Callithrix jacchus: one gene and its partners. The protein of the gene in region 1 interacts with the protein of each later gene in a biochemical or structural test. Links are inferred from orthologs where the notes say so. Each region holds a gene or a part of one and is shown on either strand. Other genes may lie near its edges. The genes, in order: ATF7IP, SP1 and MBD1.

Region 1 (3,648 bases):
TTCAATATTGCCAGCCACTTAGAAAAAAAAAAGTTCATCGTTACAAGGCTATTAACATGCTTGCATTTCTAGTATTTGCATTTCTAACCCCACATGGTGACTTACCAATTCTTGGGTTAGTAGTGCTGTTCTGTTCTGCAGGAGATGAAGTACTGAAAGCAGAAACTGGAATTTTCATCTGTATAGGACCTCGATTAGTTGATGGACTATAGAGTCCTGATGGGCCCACTGTGGGTAAAGATGTCCTTGTGGCTTGTACAATAGAGTGTGCCGTTGGAACAGCCTGCACAGCAAGTGTTGTTCCCAATGGTGCAGCACTGGCAGTAGGGTTCCTTTGAATACTAGGACTGGGCACAGAAGGAACGTTGTTTGGTTTAGTGGGATTTGGCAAGGATGGCAAGGATACTGGATTTTTGGTAAGACCACTCACTGTAGGTGGGCTTTGCACAGAAATGAATTCTACGTTGCCAGATGGTTGATTAGTCACCAAAGTCCCTGGATGGCTCTGTAGAAGCTGAGGCTGGGAGGATACTGCAAGAGGTACATGCAAAATCACTGGCAAAGGTTGTAAAGAGATTGTAGGTTGGGGATTTCCACTAGGCACCTGAGTAGTAGCAACTACAGTAGCCGTATTGGGTGCAGGAAGAACTGATGGTGCTGTCAGGGAACCCGAAGTAACTGGAGTCTGCAACTTAGGCTGACTACTGACAACTGCTGGAGGGGTGACAAGACTGGCTGAAGATACTACAGAAAGAAAACAGAAGTCTCAGTTTAAATGGTTATGGCAATTTACCAGCCAAGAAAATATGACAGATACAAATTAAATCCATTGCATTAGGTACTGTAAAGTCTTTCATCATGAAAGTTTGTTTTTTCCAGATTTAAATTCTGAAATTTAACTTAGAATTAAATTCTTGGAAGGATTTTGCATGTAGGTTTAGTATATCACAAAAACAGCACAAGATGGACGATTAATCCGCAGACTGCTGAGTATCAAAACAGTCCCTGAAAATAACTATGATCACTTCACAGTACCTAACTAGTAAACAAATAAAAACACTAAAAAGTAGGTAAAACGGTATATTTTTGAAACTACATTAAAAACATTATAAATGCCTTATAACACAAGTAATATATAAACTCATATAATAAATCTGAAGTCATAACCATTAATTAATAATAGGTAAACTTATTCATCATATTTTATCATTTGAACCATGTCTGTATCTTTGGATCAAGTCTGACTGAATTCCCAGGGAGAGGAATTATCTTCCCCTACTGAGGGGCAGTTCCCTCTACTGACACCCTACTGACATTGTATGGTATGAAAAATAGCACTGAGTGAAGATGACAGATGAATTAAGAAATGTGAAAGCTTATACAGAAGAACAGAGAAAATACAAATGCTGGTCACTACAGTTTTATAGTAATTTTCAACTACTTGTGCTTATTCTCATTGAAATAGGTTTAAAAGACATGATCAAACTTCTTTCTCATTGATTTATAGTCTTTCCAATCAGGTACACTAGAGCAGCAGTTCTCAAAGTGTAGTCCAGGGGGATGCCTGGGGTTTTCTGAGACCCTTTCAGGGAGTCTGCAATGTCAAAACTATTTTCATAATGAGATATTATTTGCCTTTTTCAATGAGCAGACATTTGCACCAATGGAGCAAAAGCAATGGTGAGTAACACTTTGGATGCTTTAGTACAAAAATCAAGGTCGTTTAATGGGACCAAACTCACTGCATTCTTTATCAACACACGCTTACAGTAAAAAACAAAGTCAGTTTTACTTAAGAATCCCCATGATCAACAGTAAAAACTATTAACTTTATTATATCTCAACCTTTGAATAGGGGTTCTTTTCTTAATATTCCATGTGAAGACATAGGACTCTGCATGCCAAAGTAAAATGGCTAACTCAAGGAAAAATGCTTGTGCATTTGAGCTATAAACTAAACCAGCAGTCTTTTCCATCAAAGACTATTTTTACTTGAAAGAATGATCTATACGCACACTGATGATTCACATGTGGGTATTTTTAAGATCTTCTCTAAAAAATAGACTAGGTAAGGCAGTCACTTCAAGGAAAAAAACCCAACTGTATTTATCAGCAATAATAACATTTGAATTTTAAAATAAAACTAAGAAGATTTGAAAAACCTTATATCCGTCACTGAAAGCATGAAGCTCTCTAAATCCTTAAAATACTTCTCTGAGTAGAACTGATAGTAAAATCAGTAAATGTAATTTTTAAAAATAATATTTTTAAATAAAATGTGTCAACATTTGGAAGATTTGCATTAACTTCGTGAACAGTTTTCAAATGACCAATGAATGATATTAGTAAAATTCCATCCAAGTGCAAGATAGAGGAACAGATTTAAAACAAGATTTGCCTCTATCGCCCAGGATAGAGCACAGTGGTACAATCTCGGCTCACAGCAGCCTCAACCTCCAGGGCTCAGGTCATCCCTCAACCTCAGCCTCCCAAGTAGCTAGGACCACAGGTGTGTACCACCATATCTGGCTATTTTTGTATTTTTTTAGAGATAGAGTTTCACCATGTTGCCCCAGCTGACCTTGATCTGAGTTCAAGCAATCCACCTGCCTCGGGCCTCCCACAGTGCTGGGATTACAGGCATGAGCCACCAAACTTGTTCAATAAACGGATTTTAATGGAAGAGTAAGGAAATTTATTTGGTGTGATTTCAGATCACACTTCACAATTAACCTTAAAGAAACTACTACTTGATAATATCAAAGAAGAATAACCACAATTATCTGTAAGGGCTAGTCCTTTTCCATCTACATATTTGTATAAGACTAGATTTCCTTCAAATGCTTCAGCCAAATCAACATTTTAAAACAGACCAAAAGCAGATATAAATATGAATATACAGCTATCTTTAGCTATCTTGATGTCTTAAAGTATAAAACAGATTTATAAAAAATGTAAGAGGATAATGCTCTTTGTGCTGCTATTTTTAAGCTTGGAAAATACATTTAGTTTCATTTTTAAAAGTCTTTTTGTGTTAGACATTATGGGTTTACTACTACTTTATTTATTTTTATTATTGTTATTGCTATTTTTTAGAGGAGGTCTTGCTCTGTCCCCCAAGCTGGAGTGCAGTGGCATGATCTCGGCTCGCTTCAACCTCCACCTCCCAGGTTCCAGTGATTCTCCTGTCTCAGCCTCCTGAGTAGCTGGGATTACAGGCACCAGCCACCATGCCTGGCTAATTTTTGTATTTTGGTAGAGATGCGGTTTCACTGTGTTGGCCAGGATGATCTCCAACTCCTGACCTCAAGTGATCCACCCACTTCATCTCCCAAAGTGCTGGGATTACAGGCACAAGCCACCACACCTGGCCTACTATTATTTTAAATGAATAAACATTTTAAAAATATGTTTTAATTTCTGTTAAATTTCTACTTCATTTCAACTAACAAACATCAATTGATGTAACCCACATAAGTAAAAGCTCTGGGGTTCTTAATTTTTTCAGATTGTAAAGGGGTCAAGAGACCAGAAATTTTGCATACTACTGCCAAAGAGGCTTGAGTATCTATCCTGTATTTCATGTGTACTTATCTAGGGTCCTAACTTTTTTTGTTTTAAGAGTCTGAGTAGATTTCACTACATTGC
Region 2 (3,648 bases), about 57 Mb from region 1:
AGTATTCTTAATACTCCTTCCACAGCTACTTCAAGCATCAGCCTGGGCTTCAAGGTTTTTCCATTCTGCTGCTGGAACTAAGGTCTTGAAAAAATTGACAGAAGTGCCTTATCCAGGCACTAACAAAAATAAAACATGAAGTGATCAGATATGAGAATGTGAGATGGCAACAGATGAGTCAGGAAAGGAGTGCAAGAAGCTGATCCCAAATAAAGACAAAATTATGAAAGGAAAAACATTATGTATGTATATATAAACTAAAAGCAGAGCATATGAATGCTTAATTTGGTGAGAAGCCAAGGCAACATCTACAGAAAAGCTGATGTGTCACAACAAGGCTCAGCCATAGGGAAATAAGGCAATATAAAAAAAATGACCAAGGTATTTTGGTCACAGAATGGTCTTCTTCCTCCTCCCAGCCAACCCCTGTGAATGCATCTCTATATATCTTTATATATATATTTATATATATATAATAATATAGAATCTGTTTTTTGTTAAAAAGTATTTCAATGATCATATATATTTATCAAGGCATGATGGCTTTAGGAAATGGGGCAGGGGGGTGATCCATCATGGAAGAGCTGAGAAGAGAAATGCAGGAAGGGTAGGCTGGAGTAAGAAGTTTAAGAAGAAACTGGGGTAAAACAAATGCTCATCAAAGGGTGGCACCAACAGAATTTTCACTAATGTTTCCCACCTTCAAAGAGGCACTGATGATATAGATGGGTGCCAGGACCCCATCTCTTCTCTTGTATCCCTCTCCCAATTCTTCCCACCACCATGCATTTTAATGCTTCATGGCTCTCTCTTCCCACATGTCTCTTGGACCCATGCTACCTTGCATCCCAGGGTTGATGGGTATGGCCCATATGTCTCTGGCCCCAGGTGCCTGATCTCAGAAGCCATTGCCACTGATATTAATGGACTGCAGATCCGCCACCTGCATGACGTTGATGCCACTGTTGGCAAGACGGGCAATGCCCTCTGGACAGATGGCCTCCATGGCTACCATATTGGTGGTAATAAGGGCTGAAGGAGTGGCAGAGCCGCTGCCTTCTGAACCTGCCCCACTGTCCAGGGGCAAAGTGCCCACACTCAGGGCTACACCTGGGCCTCCCTTCTTATTCTGGTGGGTCTTGATATGTTTTGACAGATGGTCACTCCTCATGAAGCGCTTAGGACACTCAGGGCAGGCAAATTTCTTCTCACCTAGGTAAAGGAAGAAAAGAAGCTGACATGTTAGGAAGTGAGATTACCTTACCTAATTCACTGCTTTCAAACTCTACTAGGCTGAATAAGGCCAGTATGACAAGATTATTAAAAACAAGAAAAATCTTGAAGTATCTTTTCCTTTTGGTTGGGGGGACAGGGAAGAAAAGTAGATAAAGGTTAGGGAGTACTCAGTAAGGACGGTGGAACTTAGCAGAAAAGTAAGGCAAGGCAGAGACTAAGAGTAATGGTTTCAATACTTCGCCTTCAAAATCCCACTCAAAACCTAGCTCCTTCCTTTTTTTTCCTTGAGACAGAGTCTTGCTCTGTCACCCAGGTGGGAGTGCAGTGGGGCAATCTCAGCTCACTGCAACTAAGCCTTCTGATTCCCCTGCCTCAGCTTCCCAAGTAGCTGGGATTACAGATGCCCGCCACCAAGCCTGGCTATTTTGTATTTTTAGTAGAGATAGGGTGTCCCCATGTTGGCCAGGCTGGTATCAAACTCCTGACCTTAAGAGATCCACCCGCCTGGGCCTCCCAAAGTCTTGGGATTACAGGCGTGAGCCACTGCACCTGGCCCTCCTTCCTTCTTAAAAGTTTTCCAGATTAACTCCAATTCCATTTGTGACCCATATAATTCAGTTTCAAATTAAGTTGCTAAGAAATTTTAGTTATTTTGTAAGTGTATTTTGTGTTTTTCATTCTGATCTATTACTATTTTTCTCTCCCACAGGCTCTTGCTCACCTGTGTGTGTACGTTTGTGCCTCTGTAGCTCATCCGAACGGGTAAAGCGTTTCCCACAGTATGACCAGGTACACATAAATGGTCTCTCGCCAGTATGCCAGCGCAAGTGTGCCCGCAGGTGTGAGGTCTTGCCATATACTTTCCCACAGCCTTGGATGTGGCAAATATGCTGTTTCTTTTTGCCAGGATCCCCTGAACCCCTAAAAGTAAGAATACAACTATTCATCATTCATTCTAAAGACAGAAACTAAAGAACCACAAAGTATCAACAGCAATTACCCAACCTACACCAAACTTACTCAAACTTTTTTTTTTTTGAGACAGAGTCTCACTTTGTCACCCAGGCTAGAGTGCAATGGTGCCCTCTTGGCTCACTGCAAACTCCCCCTCCCGGGTTCAAGCAATTCTCCTGCCTCAGCCTCCCAAGTAGCTGGGATTACAGGCGTGCCACCAAACTCAGCCAATTTTTGTATTTTTAAGTAGAGACTGGGTTTCACCATGTTGGTCAGGCTGGTCTCGAACCCCTGACCTTGTGATCCGCCCGCCTCAGCCTCCCAAAGTGCTGGGATTACAGGTGTGACCAAACTTTTATTTTTGAAAAAGGCTTCCTTTTTTTTGCTTTTGAGACTGAGTCTCTCTCTGTCACCCAAGCTGAAGTGCAGTGGCACAATCTCAGCTTACTGCAACATTGCCTCCTGGGTTCAAGTGATTCTCCTGCCTCAGCCTCCCAAGTAGCTAGGACTATAGGCGTGGGCCACCACGCCGGCTAATTTTTTTATTTTTAGTAGAGATGGGGTTTCACCATGTTAGCCAGGATGGTCTCGATCTCCTGATCTTGTGAGCTGCCCACCTGGGCCTCCCAAACAGCTGGGATTACAGGCGTGAGCCACTGCGCTTAGCTAAGGCCTCATTTTTTGTTGTTGTTCATTCTATTTTGTTTTTTTTGAGACGAAGTCTCACTCTGTCGTCCAGGCTGGAGTGCAGTAGCATGATCACAGCTCACTGCAACCTCTCCCTCTCCTACCCAGGTTCAAGAGATTATCTGGCCTCAGCATCCCAAGTAGCTGGGACTACAAGTGCACGCCACCAGGCCCAACTAATTTTTGTATCTCTAGTAGAAACGAAGTTAGCCATGTTGGCCAGGCTGATCGCAAACCCCTGACCTCAGGTGATGAATCCGTCCATCTCTGCCTCCCAAAGTGCTGAGATTACAAGTGTGAGCCACTGTGCCAGGCCAGAGGCTTTTTTTTTTTTTTTGAGATGAACTTTCACTTTTGTTGCCCAGGCTGGAATGCAATGGCACGATCTCAGCTCATCAAAACCTCCGCCTCCCAGGTTCAAGCAATTCTCCTGCCTCAGCCTCCTAAGTAGCTGGGATTACAGGCGCATGACACCACACCCAGCTACTTTTGTATTTTTAGTAGAGACAGGGTTTCTCCATGTTGGTCAGGCTGGTCTTGAACTCCCGACCTCAGGTGATCTGCCCGCCTTGGCCTCCCAAAGTGCTGGGATTACACCATGCCCAGCCAATGTTTCTTTTTAAAAAGGCTTCTAGGCTGAACAAGGTGGCTCACACCTGTAATCCTAACACTTTGTGGGGCCGAGGCAGGAGGATTGCTTAAGCCCAGAAATTTGAGACCAGCCTGGGCAACACAGGGAGACCCCATCGCTATAAAAAAATTTAAGTTAGG
Region 3 (4,280 bases), on another chromosome or scaffold:
CTTACTAAGCCAGTTTTGGCATTGAAAACCACTATTCTACATAACCCTTTTCCTGTATAACACTTAACAGTATTTTTAAAATTCCGCAGAAGACTCCTAATTGGGAGAACCTGTACTGGATCCAAGTTTAACATTTTTCATGCCATGTCACCTTTTGAAATGTGCAAGTCAGCCAGCACTACCTGATATAACCTTAATATTTTCCTAACCCAGAGTAATGTTAGTTTGGCTTTCCTCAACAATGCTATCCACTACGAATTACTGATCATCATTTCATGAATCCACCAATGTAGCTGCTTTCTCATCTTTTCCACAGCTTCAAGACTATGAATGCTTTCTGTACTTTCTGAAGCAGCCTCATATGCATATTGGCAAATTTCCTTCTTTTTCTGGTTGTACCATATTTTTGATGCGTAACATTGAACTTGCAGCCGACAGCATTGTAACTCATGTATGAAAAAGGTTTATCTACCTTCTATTTTCTCCGTAAGAAACAACACAGCCTTCTCACACTCAGGACACTAAACAGCACCTCAGCACTATGCTTGGGACCATTTTAAAAAACAAAATCACCAACAAAAAGTACAAAAATTGGAAAAATGTGACACTAAACACACCATGAAAAGAACAGTTACTTGCTTACAGTATTAAAGCTAAAACATGTCCAGGCATGGTGGCTCATGCCTGTAATCCCAGCACTTTGAGAGGCAGAGGCAGGCAGATCACCAGAGGTCAGGAGTTCAAGACCAGCCTGACCAACATGGAGAAACCCCATCTCTACTAAAAATACAAAAAATTAGCCTGGCATGGTGGCGCGTGCCTGTAATCCTAGCTACTCAGGAGGCTGAGGCAGGAGCATCCGTAGAACCCAGGAGGCAGAGGTTGCAGTGAGCTGAGATAGTGCCATTGCACTCCAGCCTGTGCAACAAGAGCAAAACTCTGTCTCAAAAGTAATTTTAAAAACTGAAACAAAAAGAGCTCCTTCAGCCTCAGCTAGAAACACAGGCACTGAGTGACAGCTTTTCACTGCTCTGTGCATGTCCTTGAATAATCACAAATGCACTGTGAGTTGTGACTTTTAAATTACAAATAAATTTTAAGTAGATAAAATTGCAAACATAAAATTTGCTAATAATAGCAATGAACTGTATATGCATAATTTAAACTCCATCCATAAATTAAACCACCCTATTTGATTTTACCCTAATCAGGTTTTACCCTACCCCAACTCTGTCCACAACCCACCCAGTACCTCTGGTAATAGGTGTCTGAGCGTCCGCAGGTAGCCCCTGACTTGCGAAAGACTTCACGGCGCTTCCAGCCAGGGCCCAGGGCTGGGCAATCCAGCCAGTCCTCAGCCATGGAGGCCACAGGAAGCTGCAGTAGCCTGAAAGGGGGTGGAGAGGATGAGGGAAACTGAGGCTCTAGTAAGGGACAAAACTGTGCCTCAGGCCACACAAATCACTGGTATCCATTAGTGCTTGCCCAAGACCTAGGATCTGCCATCCCATTCTTTCCTATTCTGGGCCTAAAAGATCCTCATTCCTCAACCCAAGGGTCCCCATTTCTTATTCTCAGTGTCCTATTCCCTACTCCTCTCTATCCTTGGACTGACATCCCATCATTTCTCCTCACTGCCAGTCCACAAACTTTTCATCCTTTTCCCTCATTCCTCCCTGTCATTGACCTAAGGTCCTCTATCCCTCTATTTTATCACCCCAAGACCCCCATACTCCCCATCCTCAAGCCCCAAAAGGCCCCATTTCTCTTGCTCTCACTACTTGACTTCTTCATTCCCCCTTCCTTGACCCAGGAGTTCCTAATTTCCCTCCTTCAGTGTTTTAACCATTCCATTCCTTCCTTGTCTGATGTCTTCTTATCCTGCTATCTCAGTGTTACAACCTCGACTTCCTCTGCGAGAGACACAACTGCTTCAACCCATGGCCTGAACAGCCCCTCATCTTTTCCATTCCTCACACTGGAAGCCTCCTATGCCTCCCCTTCCTCAGCCCAAGAGCTCCCCACTTATTTTTCTTTTCCTTCGATGTTCTGACCCACAATTTCTCCCCAGTGTCAGCCCTCAAACCTTCCTGTTTCTCTCCTCTACAGCCAAAAAGTTCCCCTCTTTTCCCCTTCACTGTTCTCATCCTCCGTTCCTCTCATCATCATCTTGAGAGACCCTAATTTCTCCCCTCAGCATTCCGAACCCTCCCCCATTCTCTGTTCTTGTCCCAGGATCATGCCATCCCTAACTGTCAGTGTTCTGATCTCCTACTGCTCCTCATCCTCTATATGGGGCCCCCATCCCTCCCTTTCAGCATTCCAACGTCTCCATTTCTCCTGTCATCAGCCTGAGGGCCCCTCATTTCTCCCTCAGAGTTCTGAACCCCTATCTCTCTCTCTCTCTCAACTTCAGATGCCCTGATGTCTCCCTTCAGCATTCTGAACTCCACCATTCCACCCTGTCCTCACCCCAGGATCTCGACACTCCTACCTGTCAGAGTTCTGAGCTCCATTCCTTCCCGTCCTCAGCCTAAATCCCCCCATTTCTCCTCGTCAGTATTCCGACGCCGCCATTCCTCTCCCTCACCGGCCTGAGGGCCCTCCATTCCACCCCGTCAGCGTTCTGAGCCTCAATTCCTTCCCATCCTCCGCCTGAGCGCTCTCCACGTCCAGCCCCAAGGCTGTCTCACCAGTCTGGCACCAGACCGGTATCTTCCGCAGCTCTAGGCCCGTGGACCCAAGGCGAGGGTCCCTCCTGCACCTTCCGCCTCGCCCTCCTCCCCTTCTTCCTCCTCGGCGGCCGCCTCCTCTGAAGCGGTAGCTGTTGCCTCCGCGGCTGTTCGTTGCTCCCGGAACCGGAAGTCCGCGGCCTGCCTCTCTCGGGCTCCTCCTCTAGAGACGCACCTGCGCGCTAATGCTTCGACGGCGCGTGCCCTTAATAGGGAGGCTCCTGCGCCTGCGGGCTAGCACGCAACTGTGCGCGCGCCCCTGCCAGGAACGAGTTGCATCTACGTGATGACGTTTAATAGCCGCTCGCGCCCCATCGAGGGATCAGCAGCCGCGGAGCCCCTCGCTGCCTCTCTGGCGTGCGCATGCGCTCTCCAGTCTAAGCTGAGGGGAAGTGGTTGGGGAGGGCTTGCGCTTGCGCCCTCCGTTTCCTCCCGCGGTCTCCAAAGCGGATGCGGACGGCGGCGAGAAAGATGGTTCAGGCCTGCGCACTCCTTGGCCCAGCCGGCACTCTACTCTCCCACCTCTCGCTGGTGTCGAGCCTGTGCCTCCAGGTCTCTCCGAACATCAACCCCAGGGCTGTCGTGTCCTGCTCCCTCCTCCCCGCTGAACCGCCGCGGGGCAAGCGGGCCGGGGAAGGGGGCGGTGCAGCTGCACCGCAGGTAAACTGAGGCACGCTGGAGGGCGCGCCCCTGCGGATCGTCAAGGTGGGGCTTAAACGGGGCCTGGCGTCCACGGCGGACGACAGCTCTGCGTGGGAGAGAGGAGCACGAGCGGGCAGTGTCACCACACTGAATGCGCGCTACGTAGACCTATGCCCGTGGGAGGCTGGGAATGTGGGTCCCTGGGCTCTTCCGGGGTGCAGGAGCCCCCATCTTACCTAGGAGTTGGGAATAGTTGCAACCGCAGCAATGTGGAGGCAGCTTCCTTAGTTTCTTCAAAATTTTATTAACAAAACCCAGGGAGGGGAAGGATGAGTGGACTCTGCAGCCCCACCAGGCACTGAACATGGAGACAGGGAAAAACCCTTTGACAAAGGCAGACGGGCGGTCAACCGGTGGATGGGCACAGGTTGAACCAGAGAAACTGATGAATGGAGGAACGGACACACGGGCACTGGGCGGCTCCCCCATCTGGAATGCAGGATGTGAGGGGTCCAGGCCAGGAGGCTCAGCGGTCGGCACTGGAGCGCAAGTCGGTAGTGAGGGGGTCGTGCTGGATCGTCTGGTGCAACATCAGGGCCAGCAATCCCGCGCGGTTTGTCATGGCTGTGCGCACATTGCGCTCCTGCTCAAATAGCTCATCCAGCTTGTACCACTGCCAAGGGAGCAGCAGGAGTCCTGAGCAGGCACTCTTGAAGCCCCGATTGCCCTCGGCCACGTCCGGGATGGACACCTACCATGTGCAGCACTGAAACCACATGGAAACCTACCACACGCACACGCTCCAAGTCCACTTCCGCACGTCGCAGCTTCTCCCAGCAGTAATGGCGATTGCATTGGCGCTTGGGCAGGCGGCAGAAGTCACCTGTGAGCTCAAAGACATCACGT

The links.
Region 2: the proteins of ATF7IP (region 1) and SP1 form a complex in vitro, tested with the Homo sapiens proteins (3 studies listed by BioGRID). The link is inferred for Callithrix jacchus from reciprocal best matches to the Homo sapiens genes ATF7IP and SP1.
Region 3: the proteins of ATF7IP (region 1) and MBD1 form a complex in vitro, tested with the Homo sapiens proteins (2 studies listed by BioGRID). The link is inferred for Callithrix jacchus from reciprocal best matches to the Homo sapiens genes ATF7IP and MBD1.

Annotation. Positions count from the first base shown.
Region 1 is NC_133510.1:8,832,081-8,835,728, forward strand, and holds part of ATF7IP (activating transcription factor 7-interacting protein 1), read right to left. Parts: intron 745-3,648; coding exon 106-744; intron 1-105. UniProt on the Homo sapiens protein: Recruiter that couples transcriptional factors to general transcription apparatus and thereby modulates transcription regulation and chromatin formation. Can both act as an activator or a repressor depending on the context.
Region 2 is NC_133510.1:66,143,944-66,147,591, forward strand, and holds part of SP1 (transcription factor Sp1), read right to left. Parts: intron 2,158-3,648; coding exon 1,958-2,157; intron 1,213-1,957; coding exon 899-1,212; 3' UTR 1-898. UniProt on the Homo sapiens protein: Transcription factor that can activate or repress transcription in response to physiological and pathological stimuli.
Region 3 is NC_133514.1:93,464,040-93,468,319, forward strand, and holds the start of MBD1 (methyl-CpG-binding domain protein 1), read right to left. Parts: upstream 2,855-4,280; 5' UTR 2,548-2,854; coding exon 2,495-2,547; intron 1,388-2,494; coding exon 1,253-1,387; intron 1-1,252. Other genes in the region: CXXC1 (CXXC-type zinc finger protein 1), read right to left, coding at 3,901-4,047, 4,163-4,280. UniProt on the Homo sapiens protein: Transcriptional repressor that binds CpG islands in promoters where the DNA is methylated at position 5 of cytosine within CpG dinucleotides. Binding is abolished by the presence of 7-mG that is produced by DNA damage by methylmethanesulfonate (MMS).